Daphnia pulex: one gene and its partner. The protein of the gene in region 2 interacts with the protein of the main gene of each other region in a pairwise test. Links are inferred from orthologs where the notes say so. Each region holds a gene or a part of one and is shown on either strand. Other genes may lie near its edges.

Region 1 (6,850 bases), on a different chromosome or scaffold from region 2:
CCATCAACTGCATAACTATTTTTAAATCAGGTGTATTCAAATCAGCACCAGTGGCACAATCTTCACGATCACCCATGATGCCACGTCCACCACCGCCCAACAGTTTAGCCCTACAACAGCAGCAACAACAGCAGCAAGCTAAAGATTGGAACGTTGGTAATAGCGCACCACCGCCAGTTGAACCTCCACCACCAGCTCCTCCAGTTCAAGCTCCTCCAGTTCAAGCTCCTCCACCTGTCTCCCGCCCTCTCCCTCCTGTTCCCGCCCGTTCTACAGTTCAAGCTTCAGCTGTTCCGTCAGCTCCTACTGTCGTACCAGTACGAGAAGCTCAGCCCTCCAACGGAATTTCAACGGCTTCTCAACCCCCACAGTCGTTTAACGTAGTGAGGGCTCCTCCACCCATCCCAGCCAGGAATCTTCCACCTGTCCCTCCCCGCACGGCAAAATAACAAGTAAGTGGTTGACTGCCTGCGACTCCAGTGAAGATTAACAGTATTCATTCCTGCAAACTCTTCAAAAGTATCAACCGGAAGTTTGTTTGTTTTTCTTTCATGGCAAAAATTTTACTTAATTTAAATGTGTTGCGTGTTTCTTTAAATGTCTGCTTCTAGAAGTGATCAACAAATACTCTACAGCACTGATTTAGAAAAAAAAATTGTTTCAGGCTTATTCCACAATAATTCATATCTACCAGCAGAAACTTATACCCCAGTCACCGTAAACTTATATACTGTATTTTAGACTAATTGAAGGTACGCGTTGATTCAGGTTGTGTCGAATGATCCATTGTGTATCGGAACTAGTCATACTTCTCAACGGACTTCATTAATACCAACAAAACAGAATACATCCGTTGTCGCTGTTTAACACCTAAAGGAATTTTTGTTTATCACTTCGCAAAATAAAAATGCCAAAAAAAAGAACAACCAAATGAAAACAATATGTGACTAATGCAGAATTTTATCTGGAAAAGGGTTCAAATATTTCATGGATGTAGTGAATAATAATAAGCAATCACATGGATTGCATAAGGATCATTAACTCGTCTTTCAAGTAACCAGAAGAGGATGCAACGGCTGGAGTGAAATGAAAAATTGCTGATGGACAGAGTTGAAGATCAAGTAGAGTTGAATCTTGAATGTCCGGTTGGTTAACCACACCAGCCGGAGATACTAAATTGAACTCTATGAAGGGTTCTTCGAGTGCATCGCAAACAAACAAGCGAACGTCTTGCATAGTCTCATTGACTTTGAACGTTCCTTGGAGCACGGGACCATCCGGAAACTTTATGCGGATCAGGGTAAATCGGTATTTTCGTGATGCAGCCTTCTCATCTCGTTCCCTCATAGCCCGAGTACGAAGCATCAAGCCTTTCTCAGCCGCCTCGGTTTTCAATTGTTGTTCTCGTTTGATTTCTTCGGTTGTAAGCCAAAAAAAGTCCGAAGGCAATTCCACCCGTTGGGCAGCTTGCGATGGCATCAAAATTTGTATTCCTCTATCCAAATCTGGCCGAATCGCTTCCGCGCTTATCAAGCCATCACGTAAATTCTGCAATAATAGGCAATCTATAGTTGAACCGTATTCAGGAATAAAATGAAATTTTTACACTAATATATTCGATGTGTTCTGGTTGTGTGTTTAATAAAACCCAGAAGTCCTCCGGCTCCTGCTGAGCATTTTGTATAGACTTTAACTGGAAACCAGCTGCTTGCAAAAATTGTTGTACTCCTTCCAGCCGACCTACTCGTTCTTGGTACACTTTGTTATTTATACGAATTTTATGATACTTTTCCTCAGCTGGGTTCTGTACTATGTTATCCAAATAGCGAAACAATGTTTCAACACATTGCTGAACCTATATCGTCGATTAATCGAGAGAGAAAAAATGTGAAATAGATTTCTTTATTTGAAAATGATAAAAAATAACCTTTTCTTGAGGCTTATTTAATGTGTGTATAACTAGACAAGCAGTAAGTCCTGCTTCCTCATCTTCTAATTGCTGATAAAGAAACTCCTTAATCAATTTTTCAATTTCTTTTTTAGGCAGTACTTCAGGTCCTACAAATAATTGCATTAATTTAATTTACTATCACAGAGGATACACATACTACCTATCAGTGGGCACTTGTAGTAAACTCCACTAACAGCAAGTTCATTTGAGGATGGAAGTTGTTGGGTTTTCTCAGACAGAGTTAACTTTTGAATTGAAGTATCCTGTTTCTCTAGCTCCAATTCCTTTAATGCCTGGGCTCTTATTATTGCAGCTGATCGCTGTTGGGGAGTAGGGTCTTTTTTCTTTTCAAATCTGGCTAATGCAGCAGCTGCAGCTTGTTGTTGTGCTGCACTAGTTGAAGCTTCAGAACGAGCTTGAGTAGGAGCCAAATTTTTGCTTAGTTTTGGTTGTTGAACAGTTTCATTAAGTTTATGTCCTTCTCCTAAAAAATTACAAGTTTTCATTACTCTTTTAACAAACCCATATTAATTATTATGTTATTACCAGCCAATTTAAATTTTGTATCAGCTTTCTTCTTTTCAAAAAACTTTTTAATTTTATCCATTTTGAATCCTACGCCTTACCACCGTGGTGTATGCTCACTTGGTAGCTTTAACTCAGAAACTGCAGTCTTCAGCTGTTCACTTGAAATTTCGTATTGACTTGGCTTCAGAAATCTCTGTGTTATTCTTTCGCTGTAAATTTTCCACGCAACACAAATAGCTAATACATGGACAGTCAGTATGCAAAAGAAAACTTGTAATAATTTAATTTGGAAATCAGAAAAAGCTGAATCATAAAAGTTCACTAATATTTCTGAGAAATCAATCAACTTTAAGAGAATAGATTTAAATAAACTTTCACAGTGCCCTGGTAACACTTCAACAAAGTCAATGACAAAACTGATTAGAAGATAAATTAAGTTAACGGAATATTCGACGAAAACCTCGACCCACAAAGTAGATTGCTGTTCAACCAAAGTTTCTTCATCCACCTATAATATAGGTATTATGCAAATAATTATACATTCTAGCTTGGTCACTAGGTAAAATAATGCATTTAATTTTAATTATTAAGTTGTTTACCATGCTACGAAATTTAGAATTGAATCCTCGATCGATTCTAGTATCATGAAATGACATGTACTCTAATGATAGCCTTTTGTTTACAAAATATGAAAGAACGAACCAGGAACCAACTGCTGTTTAGCAGTTGCGTGTTTTATACGATCAATTTCCACTACAACCCAGGCCAGACCAGGCTAATAATCTTGTGTCCGCATCGTAACACATATTTCATTTTTGACAGGAAATTGCTGTTGGCAACTATAATCCAATAACGGCAATATGTTCTCAATATTTGCATGACAAATTACGTGATACAATATGACAGACGTTTTCTTTTATGACAAAACCCTTGATGGGCCATACGGGGCTACGTGAATTTCATTTTAGAATTACAGTTACTACGTCGTGCCCTTGGGTCATAATATATTGCATAAGTTTTCAGTTTTCAGGTAGGGTTAATAAAAAAAGGTATGCTACCACGCAATTTTATCAAGGTTACCTAAAAACTCAGTTCCCCAGCCCCCTCATTATGATGTTGCCAACTTTTCAATGATAAAACAAATATAACCCATCGATTTTATTTAATCTTTTACTTTAATAAAATTTTTAGGAATGTTAAAACAATTAGTTAAAATATTATTTTAAAATGTTTTAAATTTAATTGATATTGATCGTTCTCTGCGACCTTGAGTCCTTGACCAATCAGACTTCAAGAGGATGGGTTTACCGTTTAAAACCCCATCGGCCCCCTAGCGTCAATGTTCAAATTTCAAACCAGACAGGGTAGACAAATCTTCTCCGACTTTTAAAGAAGTAACGTTAGTTCCAGACTTCTAGTTGACTTTAGTTACAAAGAGACCTTACTCGAATACTTCGCTGCAAATAAGTATAACTTTTATTATCTAATGATTAGTACTGGCTTTCCAAATATTTAAGAAATTGTTGGGTATTTTGATGTAATAGTTCACGTTATAAATGGAGACCAAGCAACCGTTGAGGGACTTGCAAAACGTGACTAAACCTATGACCACTGCTCCCTTAGCAAAACCGGATGTTAAGCTTGAAAATGAAAGATCAAAACCTAAGTATGCTTGTCATTCTTCTCTTGTTAGACCATTAAGATGTGGATCTTAACAGTTGCACATTGGTGTATTCTCCAATCTTTGATAAACACAGGTGGACATTGGAAAATTTTGAGATTGGCCGTCCATTGGGAAAGGGAAAATTTGGAAATGTTTATCTAGCTAGAGAGAGAAAATCAAAATTTGTGGTAGCCCTTAAAGTCCTATTCAAGTCACAGCTCCAAAAGAGTCACCTTGAACATCAGCTTCGGAGAGAAATTGAGATTCAATCACATTTGAGGTAAAACAATTCTACATTGCATTGCAGTTCTCATAACACATTGTTTCATTCACAGGCATCCCAACATTTTAAGGATGTATGGTTACTTTTTTGATGAAACCAGAGTCTATTTGATTTTAGAATATGCATCAAAGGGTGAAATGTATAAATTTTTGATGGCCCAGCCTTTGCAGCGCTTTGAAGAACCAAGGTAAGCTCAACTTTTAATGGGTTTTCTTGCAGTATCATAAAGTGATTTTCAATAATTAGTGTGGCAAACTACATGGCTCAGTTGGCTGATGCTTTGATGTACTGTCATGCACGAAAAGTAATCCATCGCGATATTAAACCTGAGAACCTCCTGATAGGAGCAAACGGAGATGTAAAAATTGCAGACTTTGGTTGGTCTGTTCATGCTCCATCTTCACGGTATTAGATTGTAGTTTGTAGGAAATGGCTTTACTTCAGTTTCTAAAAATTTCTCTTTCTCAACAGACGCACTACTATGTGCGGAACACTTGACTACTTGGCCCCGGAAATGGTTGAAGGCAGATCTCATGACGAAAGAGTTGATTTGTGGACTTTGGGGATCTTGTGCTACGAGTTTCTTGTGGGAAAGCCACCCTTTGAGGAGGAGAAAACCGATTTGACTTACAAAAGAATATGCAGGCAAGTTATGACTTGATAAGCCACATTTAATGCAGTAATTCAATAACAGCTTGAATTATTTTAGCGTGGATTTGCGATTTCCTCAGCATGTGACAAATGGCGCCCGTGACATCATCAGTAAATTGCTGAAATATCAACCCGAGGATCGCCTGGATTTGAAGAGCATTCTTCATCATGAATGGGTGCAGCAGCATTTGACATCGGAAGTTCGCTCAAAGTAAGGCAATTTGTCTAATAGCATGTGTCTTTCTTTTATAAATTCAATATATATTTTTAGATTGCCTTACTTCCAGTTACAAGACCCAATTCAATCCGAAGTGTAATTATTTATTAATTGAATGCAGTTTATTTGATTTTATTCTTCTGCTGTCCTATCATGTAGTAGATTTCTTCATTATATTCCCTGTTGTATCATAATTTTATCAAATTTCTAATCTGTGTGATCTTTCGACATAGGAAAATAAAATAGACGTATAAATTTCATATGCTACTCTGTATTTATATGTATTGAGATGTGGATAGAAAAGATCGAATACGATCAAAGGTCTTTAAAGTAACAAACTATTGATAAAATATGGAGTTCATACGTCCTGTAAATTAATGATGTTGAAAGCAATCATATTGTTAGTTGGCATTTTTACAATCACAGTTGCCGCACATTTTCTTTGTTCAGTAAAGGATCGGCAGAAAGAGAAAAGAATATTGAGTAATCGATAAGATAGAATAATGTAACCGTCATACCAGTGCGTAGCGCTATGACGGAATCGCAGTAGTAAAAAGGTTCATAAGTATCGTACTTTAGTAACTTGTATCGATAGTATATTTGCCATTGGAACAGTGTATCACTAGTAAAAGGTGTCTCAAATAATAATGTTCAGTAGAAATTGAAATAATTCTTAAAAACTGAACAAATATCTTTGAAACAAATGGCCATTAGTAAATTATTTCATAAGGTGGTGCATCTCAGAGTGACGGAATCGCACTAGTAAAGGTTGCCATTAATAAAAGCTTTTTTTTTTCTCTCATTAATATACAGTGTTGGAAGTAAAGTGTTTCATAAATAAAAGATATCACTGATATTTTGATTATTTAGTAACTGTAAACTATACCCGTAAATAACTAGCTCTTTAAGTAAAATGCTTCATAATAACGTCAAGGGTGCGTATCACTGTGACGGAATCGCACTAGTAAAAAGTTTCTTAAGTATCGTAATTTACAAATCTGTATCAATAGTATATTTGTCATTCGTAACAATGTATCAGTAGTAAAACGTTTTTCAAATAATAATGTTCAGTAGAAACTGAAATAATTCTGAAAAACTTTACATTTGTCTCAGAGACAAATGGTCATAAGTAAATTGTTTCATAATTCTATTTATTTTTTATTTTTATGTCTAAAAAAGAAATGTGAGTATGTGAGGTGACAGTAGTAAAATGCTCCAATAGTATTTAGCAACATTACGACAACGTCGCATGAGTAACCGTGTTGTTAAATAGCAGCTGCGAGCCTGCGGCGCAGGTTCAGACGACAAAAAGGCGTCGACGGCACGAAGGCACAAATCGAGGCGTCGTAGTGTAATTACGACGCATTTTTTGTGTCAAAAGTAAGCATACTTTAGTTAATTGCTCTTATTTTTGCAAAAAAAATAAAATTGTGTATCTTGAACATCCAGGTTTGGAGTTCTTTGGAGTTTGGTGGCCAATTTATGTGAAGTAAAATTTGGTCCATGCAGAAAGAAAGATTGTCAGCCTTTCAGAGAGCGGACTCAAGTTGAATTCAA
Region 2 (7,558 bases):
CGTATTACACCACTGCTGCTCCTTACTACACCGAGGCTCCTTACTACACCACCACAACTGCTGCCCCTGTGTACTACACTGAGGCTCCCTACTACACTGCTGCTCCAGCTTACTACACCGAGGCTCCTTACTACACCACCACAACTGCCGCCCCTGTATACTATACTGAGGCTCCTTACTACACTGCTGCTCCAGCTTACTACACTGAAGCTCCTTACTACACCGAGGCTCCATACTACACAACCACAACTGCTGCCCCTGTCTACTACACTGAGGCTCCTTACTATACAACTGCTGCTCCGGTTTACTACACTGAGGCTCCTCATTATACAACGGCTGCCCCTGCCTACTACTCTGAACCGGCTTACTACACAACTGAAGCGTATACCACAACTACAGCAGCCTACAAATACGAAGCTCCCACTTACGCTCCACCGAGCTATTATGCTCCTCCAGTCTATTAATAGCTCTAAGTTGTACAAGCTTTTTACCTTGGAATTGTTATTTCGAATATCTTTATCAGAGAATGTTAATAGATTACGTTACGCTAACTGCAATTGGTATTAACTTGTAGTCATTGTATTTCAACCTTAAGGAGGGATTCAGCTCTTCAGTCGTGTAAAGTAGTTAGACAAACATAGTCAACATTAGAACTGAAAGTTTAAAGATTCATGGAGAATGTGGCAATGGAACGACTATTCTTAGCATTATCGACATAGAGACGCCACTCCCTGCGGTTGAAATCAAAAATTCCAGTAGCGATCGTCAATACGATATCCTTCTCCGTTCCGCGACGGTAAATCGGATAATCTTGATCATCGTCGTTGGACAGCATGTCTACAACCTCTCCGATATTAGTAGGTAAACCCAGAGTTTCCATTACATGATGGCGACCGTTACTGCTGAGTACAGCCAAACCGTTATGATCCTCGTTGATCTTCAGTCGCAAGTATCTAATCGATGTAAATAATTTGTGGTAAAATTGTGCTGAACATTGTTTGAAATTGTTGTATACTTATTGCAGCGAACATGACTCTCCCCAGGCGAAATAGTCAAAATGGACAGTTGCGACTCGTTATTCTCCGCAGGTCCTACTTCAGCGCTGTGAAAGAGGATTGGTCCTTCCTGTTTTGGTATATTGATTAATGCCAAATTTAACTAACTTTTCTGATAATTTATTATTTTACTTGTTTCATGAACGACATGTTGACGCAAAATCCGTGAGCAGATCCGGTTCCTCTGTCACGAAGAATGGCCTGAGCGTCGACCAAATTCCGAGCGCTAAGCATCGCCCTTGTCAGGAAATGACGCGCTGAAAAAAAAAGAAGGAACGCAAGTCTAAACTAATCAAACGAAAATTAATTTAATTATCAAGTACGTGTTTTGTCATTATGGACCCTGACAGGTTCTATAATATTGATGGTGTAAACGAGACCGTGCTCATTAATATTCATGCAGAAGCCAGGCAAGTGCCCAGCGTAACAAAGCGACGAGAATCTCTCATGACGTCCACATTTTTCGGTAATATCAGCGTGAACGATGTACAGATGGTTGAGAGTTACTGCAAAAGCGTCTTCCGTGTGTCCCAAAACCACCTAAAAGTAAGATCATTTTTCTTTTAAACTTTCACTTTTATAATTAGTTGAATTAGAACTTGCGTTTTCGTGGTTGCACATGACGCTCGAACAACCGTTTCCTGATAGTTGAGATGACGACGAGGCCTCTAATATCATGCTATCGATGTGCAGTAGCATCAACTAAATAGACAATGTTGGAAAATTATTAACATCCACTTAAAAAGTATTTGAAACTGGACCTTGTAAAAGGGCACTTGACTGCCGTCAGAAATTCCTTGCAACTCATTGACGTAATAAGGGAACTTGGCTTTCATTCGAGCTAGCGTGTCGTCGTAGATTTTCAGTCCAGCAACTGTGTTGTAGGCTGGCAACAGCTCGTCGTTCAAAAATTTCGAGTCTCGAACTAGTTCTTCTATCTGATGTTTAAAAGTGTGGCCCTGTCGGATAGTTGAAAAGTCAAGTTAGAAAGTCTAGGATTGAATTTTGTTTTCCTCTTTTTCTTACCACATCGTAGCCGACTTGATAGAATGTTCCTCGAACGTAAATAACTGGTAGGAAAATTCGGTTTTCCATGTTGCTCTCTCGAAAGATGAAGCGGAAATGGATCCAGTCGTCTTTTCAAAATGAAAGCGTCCACAAGAATCCTTACAACATCGGTCAAGTTTTAATCTTGTTAAGGGCCAAACACGTAAGAAATAATCCACTTTTGTGAGCCAAAACTCATTTCATTTCGGTGCACTTTGCGCATGTTTCTTTTAGAAGTTATTAGCCGGAATAGAAAATTTGCAAATTAGAGAATTCCTTCTTACCAAATAAATTACTTCTCGCGCACTAATAAAACTGACGCCAATTTCTTTGGTCCACCTTCGCGCGTTGTTGATAGTTTTTATATAATCTTCTTACGTGTCGTTATAATACAGATAGTATCGTTGACACAGCGCTTTGATAAAAACAAATCCCGAAGACGTGCGTCACCAAAGTTTAGATAAATCGCAAATAACTGAGCTGTGATTTAACTTGCAATAGCTCGAGAGAATTTCTTGATAAATGTGAAGCCACTTTTCCGCTTACATTACACCTATGTGTATGTATATGTGGATTTCACTTACGCATTTGTTTAACCGGAATGTGAAATCAAAATAATTTATTATAATAATCCTTTGTCTTTCATCAGACGTATTAGGTAATAGATATCTTTATCTGTTTTCAGTCTGACATAACTAAAAAAAAAATTGTATAGTTCTTGTCCCATCCTCATCGATGCTAATTAAATTACAAATTTGCAAGTATAGGCAGATGGTGATACCATGTGACCACTTTGTTTAAAGGAAGACCGCCAGTTGTTGTACCTCTCCACCGAATTTGTATGGGCCGGTGTAATGTTACACTGTCGCAGTTGAGCACTAAATCGGGTTGGATTTTTAATCGAACGGAAGATGGACGCCTTACGACACATTTCCTTTCGGCGGAAGACTTATGGAGCAGATAAGAAAAGAAATTACAGGTACGCTGCTTTGCCCATATTATTTTCAAGGTTGTGTAATTCTTTTGTTTGGTGAAGGATTATGAATAAGTTCCGGCCAATGAAAGACTAAACAAAAGCAAATGTTAGAAATATTTATGTCATGGCACACATTTTCTTTAAGGGCTAAGAGTACTATAACAGTAATACTGTTTCCGATTTTTTGCGCACAACTAACAAATTAATGATTTTATTGAATTTAATAGGTATAATTGGGTATGCATTTTGTTGCTGTTGGTATGGCAGTTTGCAAGAATTTCTTCACCAAAATGTAGCACCTCCATCCGAACCACCAGTGAAAAACCGATCCTGTCTTTGACCTAATACTACATTATGCCCAGATCCGTGCGCCAACTGGGCAGCATTGGGTGCAACACCAGGAGGAGGTGGAGGAATCCTCACTTGTGACGTTGAATCGAAACGCGCACCAGCATCGAATGCTTTCTAATTAATTATTTTAAATAAGAATTAGTATAAAACTTTGACAATTTAACTGGTTGAACTAAGAAATGTAATATGTACTCACTGGAACAACAAAAGTAGCTTGAGGATGGACTTGCTGCACATGTACTTGGGGTTGATGGGGTTGATGGGATTGATATGATTGATAGGGTTGATAGTAAGGCCCTGGGGCATTCATGGGCACTTGCTGCTGCTGCTGGATATGCTATAGAAAAATAAGTCTTGTTTATAAAATTTACTAAAGAAATGTTTATAATTAAACATTTCTTACCTGAACTGGAATGTAAGATGCATTATAGTTAGGTGGGGCAACTGGGTGGTGCATTGCTTGATCATAACTTGGTGGTGGTGGCGGCATTCCAGACATAACCGGCACATAGGGATTGTAAGGACTGGAGGCAACTGCTACAGCTGGATTCACCATATTGTTTCCAGGTGGGTACATTGGGTATGGCAATTGTGGAGGCCCTACAGGCTGCTGCTGCTGCTGTTGTGTTGGATAAGCTGCTGCTGATTGACATTATTGAAAAGTAAGGAAGTTTTTTTTTAAACTGTTATAGCCAAATGTATCCTAATACATCATGGTACTACTTTATATGATTAAATCTTACCCTTTTTTTCATTCTTCTTTGGCATTTCTTCAATTTGCTGATGGGTTACTTGGACTAGAGTGAATGTCAGCTATGTATTTTTGCAGAACTGATCCACTTCTTAATAAGAAACGTCAGCAACTAGTGCGTCAGTACGTGTTCTAATAACGTTTTTGACTCACGATTGGTAATTTTTTTGTTGCGCAAGCAGACGTTATCAACAGAAAACAAACAGTTGATAACATAAACGTTGCCATATTTTGAATCAGTATCGATTTCTTTTAAAATCATTTCCGTTGCGGTCTCAAAAGTCAAAACCAGCTTACAGTCAACAAGTTTTATTGGAATACTATATTTTTAGAATGATTTAAAATTGAAATAACAGTGTATATGATAACAAAAACAACTCATGTCAAGGTGTTGTATTTTTCTAGGTACTTGGTATTCCCGGAGATTCGTCCGGACTTTCGAGGCTGATTCCCATTCTACGTAAGAAACAATGCAAAATATTTGAGGCAATCACAACTGAAGACATGCAAGGGGTGATGATGTAGTGTAATTCTATAAATCGCGAATTGCCAGACGTACAAGAGGAAGACAGAAGTTAAGATAAAGGCAAGGGAGGGGGCATCAGGGTATTGTAATTTCACACTTCATATTCAATCCGAGGTAGGCATGTACTTGAGACGAACAAATCAAAATACATCACAATTTCGTAAATGAGATGAAGTAGTAACACTGCTTGTTAACTTCAAGTTCGAAATTAAGGGCGACATAATAAAAGATAAGTTCGTGGATTAAAGCCTAAATGGGATTAAGTAATTTCACACTTATTATAAAATTTGAAGGAGACACGTAACTTAATTGAATGGTAATTAAGTCAAGAATGGCCATCTAAAAAAAAATTAAATTAAAAGACAGCGAGGGGCAAATTTGATTAAGCGAAAGACGATCACTGTTGGCCAGCGATAAATTTCTACTTTTCCTGAGTATCTACTAACGGTGAGAGTAAAAATGGCAGTTTTTCGTGTGCGTATTGCAGTCTGTATAAGAGATCAGGATTGCAACCGTGTTCAGCCAGCAAAGAAAATTTGAAGGTACGGAAATTTTTCTTCTCGTCGATGACTGTCACAGCTCCCATGAGTGGACAGAGGATCAATTTAACGTGGTCTTTAAAGTAATTAATCTAGTAACACAAAAAGTTAATTATTGATTAAATGAACAAAATAGACTTGATGAGATAACTTTACCTGTAGCGTTCCACTCGTTAGGTGCATGACGACAGCTCGAGATGTGCGGAACCACTGACGTAGGAAAGGCAACCGAAGATGTTCATCACCGTCACGTGGAACAACGGATGCACCAGTCTTGATTAAGTGCTCTTGCATGTAAGAGCGGAAATATGCGAGCAGTTTCACCTTTTTACCCAAGGTAGGCGGATGTTGATCCATAGTGTAATACAACTCATTTCCATTGCGTTCGACGTACTGAATGGTCCTATTGCAATTATTGTAGTTGGCATTTAGGTCTTAATTATTAATAAAAAGTAAAACTCTTACTTTGCGTCAACCAACAGCAAAAGTTTCGTTAAATCATTGAAAATGACACCAATTGTATCATCGCTGAGTTGGTAGCCGAACCCGTATTTGTCAGAATAATCTACCCATTTAGAAATCCATACCATAGGCACTGAACCCGGATCCTCTGCCTCGTCTGAGATCAACAATTAAATAAGTTAAAGCAATTTTAATAATATTTAAATACTTTAAACACGCACCCATCATAAGAGGGAACTTCTCCGCAGGTTTTGCACTGAAGAGGCGGGTGAGCTGTTGCTGAAGCTCACGCAATAGTTTCTCAGGAGAAGGTCCAGCCGTGTAGAGGGCTCCGGCATTCTCAGCATGGTTAGGTTCGTTGGAAGGCGCCAATCCATCTCCTAAACAAAGCAAACACACACACACAAATTTATTGTTAGTATCTGCTCCAATGTGTTGTTTGGAAGTGTTTGAAGAACCTTGTGGATGCTCAGCAGTTCCAGGTAAATGGACTCTGTTAACTTCGCCCAGTGGACGACGAACAGCAATAATGCTGCTATTCAATTTGGCATCGAATCTCGGAGCCATCGTGAGGCATGATAAAGGCAAGCGTGTTGGCATATAACCACATGTCATGAATTCGTCATTCAAAACAATATCGACCGCAGGTCTAGATAGATAATTCTGAAAATCTTTAAAATTACACAACACTAATATCAAGTTATTATACCTGCAGGTTGGTTCACCCTGTAACATTCGAGTTATAAGAGCACGGGCAAGAGGCCCGATCCGAGAGGGAATATGATATTCATTTCGTTTGATTTTACTGTATGTATCTTTGAGAGACTGCGTCTCAAAAGGTGGACGACCAACAAGTAAAGTATACCTGAGGATTTAATACAAAAGTGAAGTTATATTTTAAAAAGAATAAGAAAAAATAGGTCTTACAAAATGCAGCCCATTGACCAAATGTCAACTTCAAAGCTATGGCCTTTTTTGTTGAGAACCTCTGGAGCAATATAGTTGGGAGTACCACAAAGTGTTCTAAGTAAAAAAATAAAATAAATTATAAACAATTCCATGCAGCTACACTTGGTTGCTGTTACTTTTTTCTCTCTCCACTAAAATCTAATTTTGTTGCTAAACCAAAATCTCCAATTTTAAGTTCCATGTTATCATTCAGGAACAAGTTCCCAAGCTTGAGATCCCTGTGAATCATTTTGTTTTCATGAAGGTATTTTACACCCAATAGAAGTTGGTGCATGAAATATCTTGCTTCTGGTTCAGTTACAGCTTTCCTTCTTTTGTGCAATTCCATTAGACTCTATGGAATACGAAAAAACTGTTTCAGTAAATTGTCAGTTTAATTCTGCTAACAAAGACTTACCCTTCTTTTGCACAGTTCCAACACTATATATACAAAGTTATTATCTTCAAAGAAACTGTGAAATCCTACTACATGATCATGTTTCAGACTACGATGAATAGAAATTTCCTGAGCCATTTTATCTTTTTGGTGAGGCTTGACAAGAAGTTGTTTGGAGACGATTTTTCCAGCAAACACTTGTCCATTGTCAAGATCTGTTAGCTCATAGCATTTGGCAAAACCACCCTATGAAAAAACTGGCGTTATTTCCATTTTTCGATTATACTAGAGGTGGATTTTCATTACCTTGCCGAGAAATCTTCCTCTTTGGTACCTCTTTTTGCCAGCAGCATCACACAGGATGTCGGGAATAATATCAGGTCCCGGTTCACTTGGTTTAATGCTTGTCATTTTCAAAAAAATGAATAAAGGGAGGTATCAGTAATGTTAAAATATAGTTTGCAGATTATGGGAAATCAATGGCTACAAATTCTGGGACGTTTCCC

Evidence for each region.
Region 1: the proteins of DAZ-associated protein 2-like (region 2) and UBX domain-containing protein 6-like interact in binary tests that used the Homo sapiens proteins (3 or more experiments, as listed by UniProt). The link is inferred for Daphnia pulex from reciprocal best matches to the Homo sapiens genes DAZAP2 and UBXN6.

What each region holds. Positions count from the first base shown.
Region 1 is NC_060023.1:5,740,825-5,747,674, reverse strand, and holds UBX domain-containing protein 6-like, read right to left. Parts: upstream 2,992-6,850; 5' UTR 2,559-2,991; coding exon 2,498-2,558; intron 2,436-2,497; coding exon 2,112-2,435; intron 2,059-2,111; coding exon 1,928-2,058; intron 1,856-1,927; coding exon 1,607-1,855; intron 1,549-1,606; coding exon 1,015-1,548; 3' UTR 770-1,014; downstream 1-769. Other genes in the region: synaptojanin-1-like, read left to right, coding at 31-449; aurora kinase A-like, read left to right, coding at 4,036-4,145, 4,237-4,422, 4,478-4,612, 4,672-4,830, 4,897-5,070, 5,135-5,287, 5,348-5,393. UniProt on the Homo sapiens protein: May negatively regulate the ATPase activity of VCP, an ATP-driven segregase that associates with different cofactors to control a wide variety of cellular processes.
Region 2 is NC_060021.1:6,407,939-6,415,496, forward strand, and holds DAZ-associated protein 2-like, read right to left. Parts: upstream 4,356-7,558; 5' UTR 4,198-4,355; coding exon 4,173-4,197; intron 4,092-4,172; exon of another isoform or gene 4,072-4,091; coding exon 3,833-4,071; intron 3,767-3,832; coding exon 3,626-3,766; intron 3,544-3,625; coding exon 3,361-3,543; 3' UTR 3,181-3,360; downstream 1-3,180. Other genes in the region: extensin-2-like, read left to right, coding at 1-464; uncharacterized protein LOC124193795, read right to left, coding at 662-953, 1,016-1,125, 1,188-1,312, 1,379-1,595, 1,659-1,757, 1,817-2,014, 2,082-2,150; serine/threonine-protein kinase PLK1-like, read right to left, coding at 5,128-5,337, 5,402-5,648, 5,711-5,864, 5,929-6,087, 6,166-6,572, 6,635-6,730, 6,793-7,010, 7,074-7,298 and 1 more. UniProt on the Homo sapiens protein: In unstressed cells, promotes SIAH1-mediated polyubiquitination and degradation of the serine/threonine-protein kinase HIPK2, probably by acting as a loading factor that potentiates complex formation between HIPK2 and ubiquitin ligase SIAH1.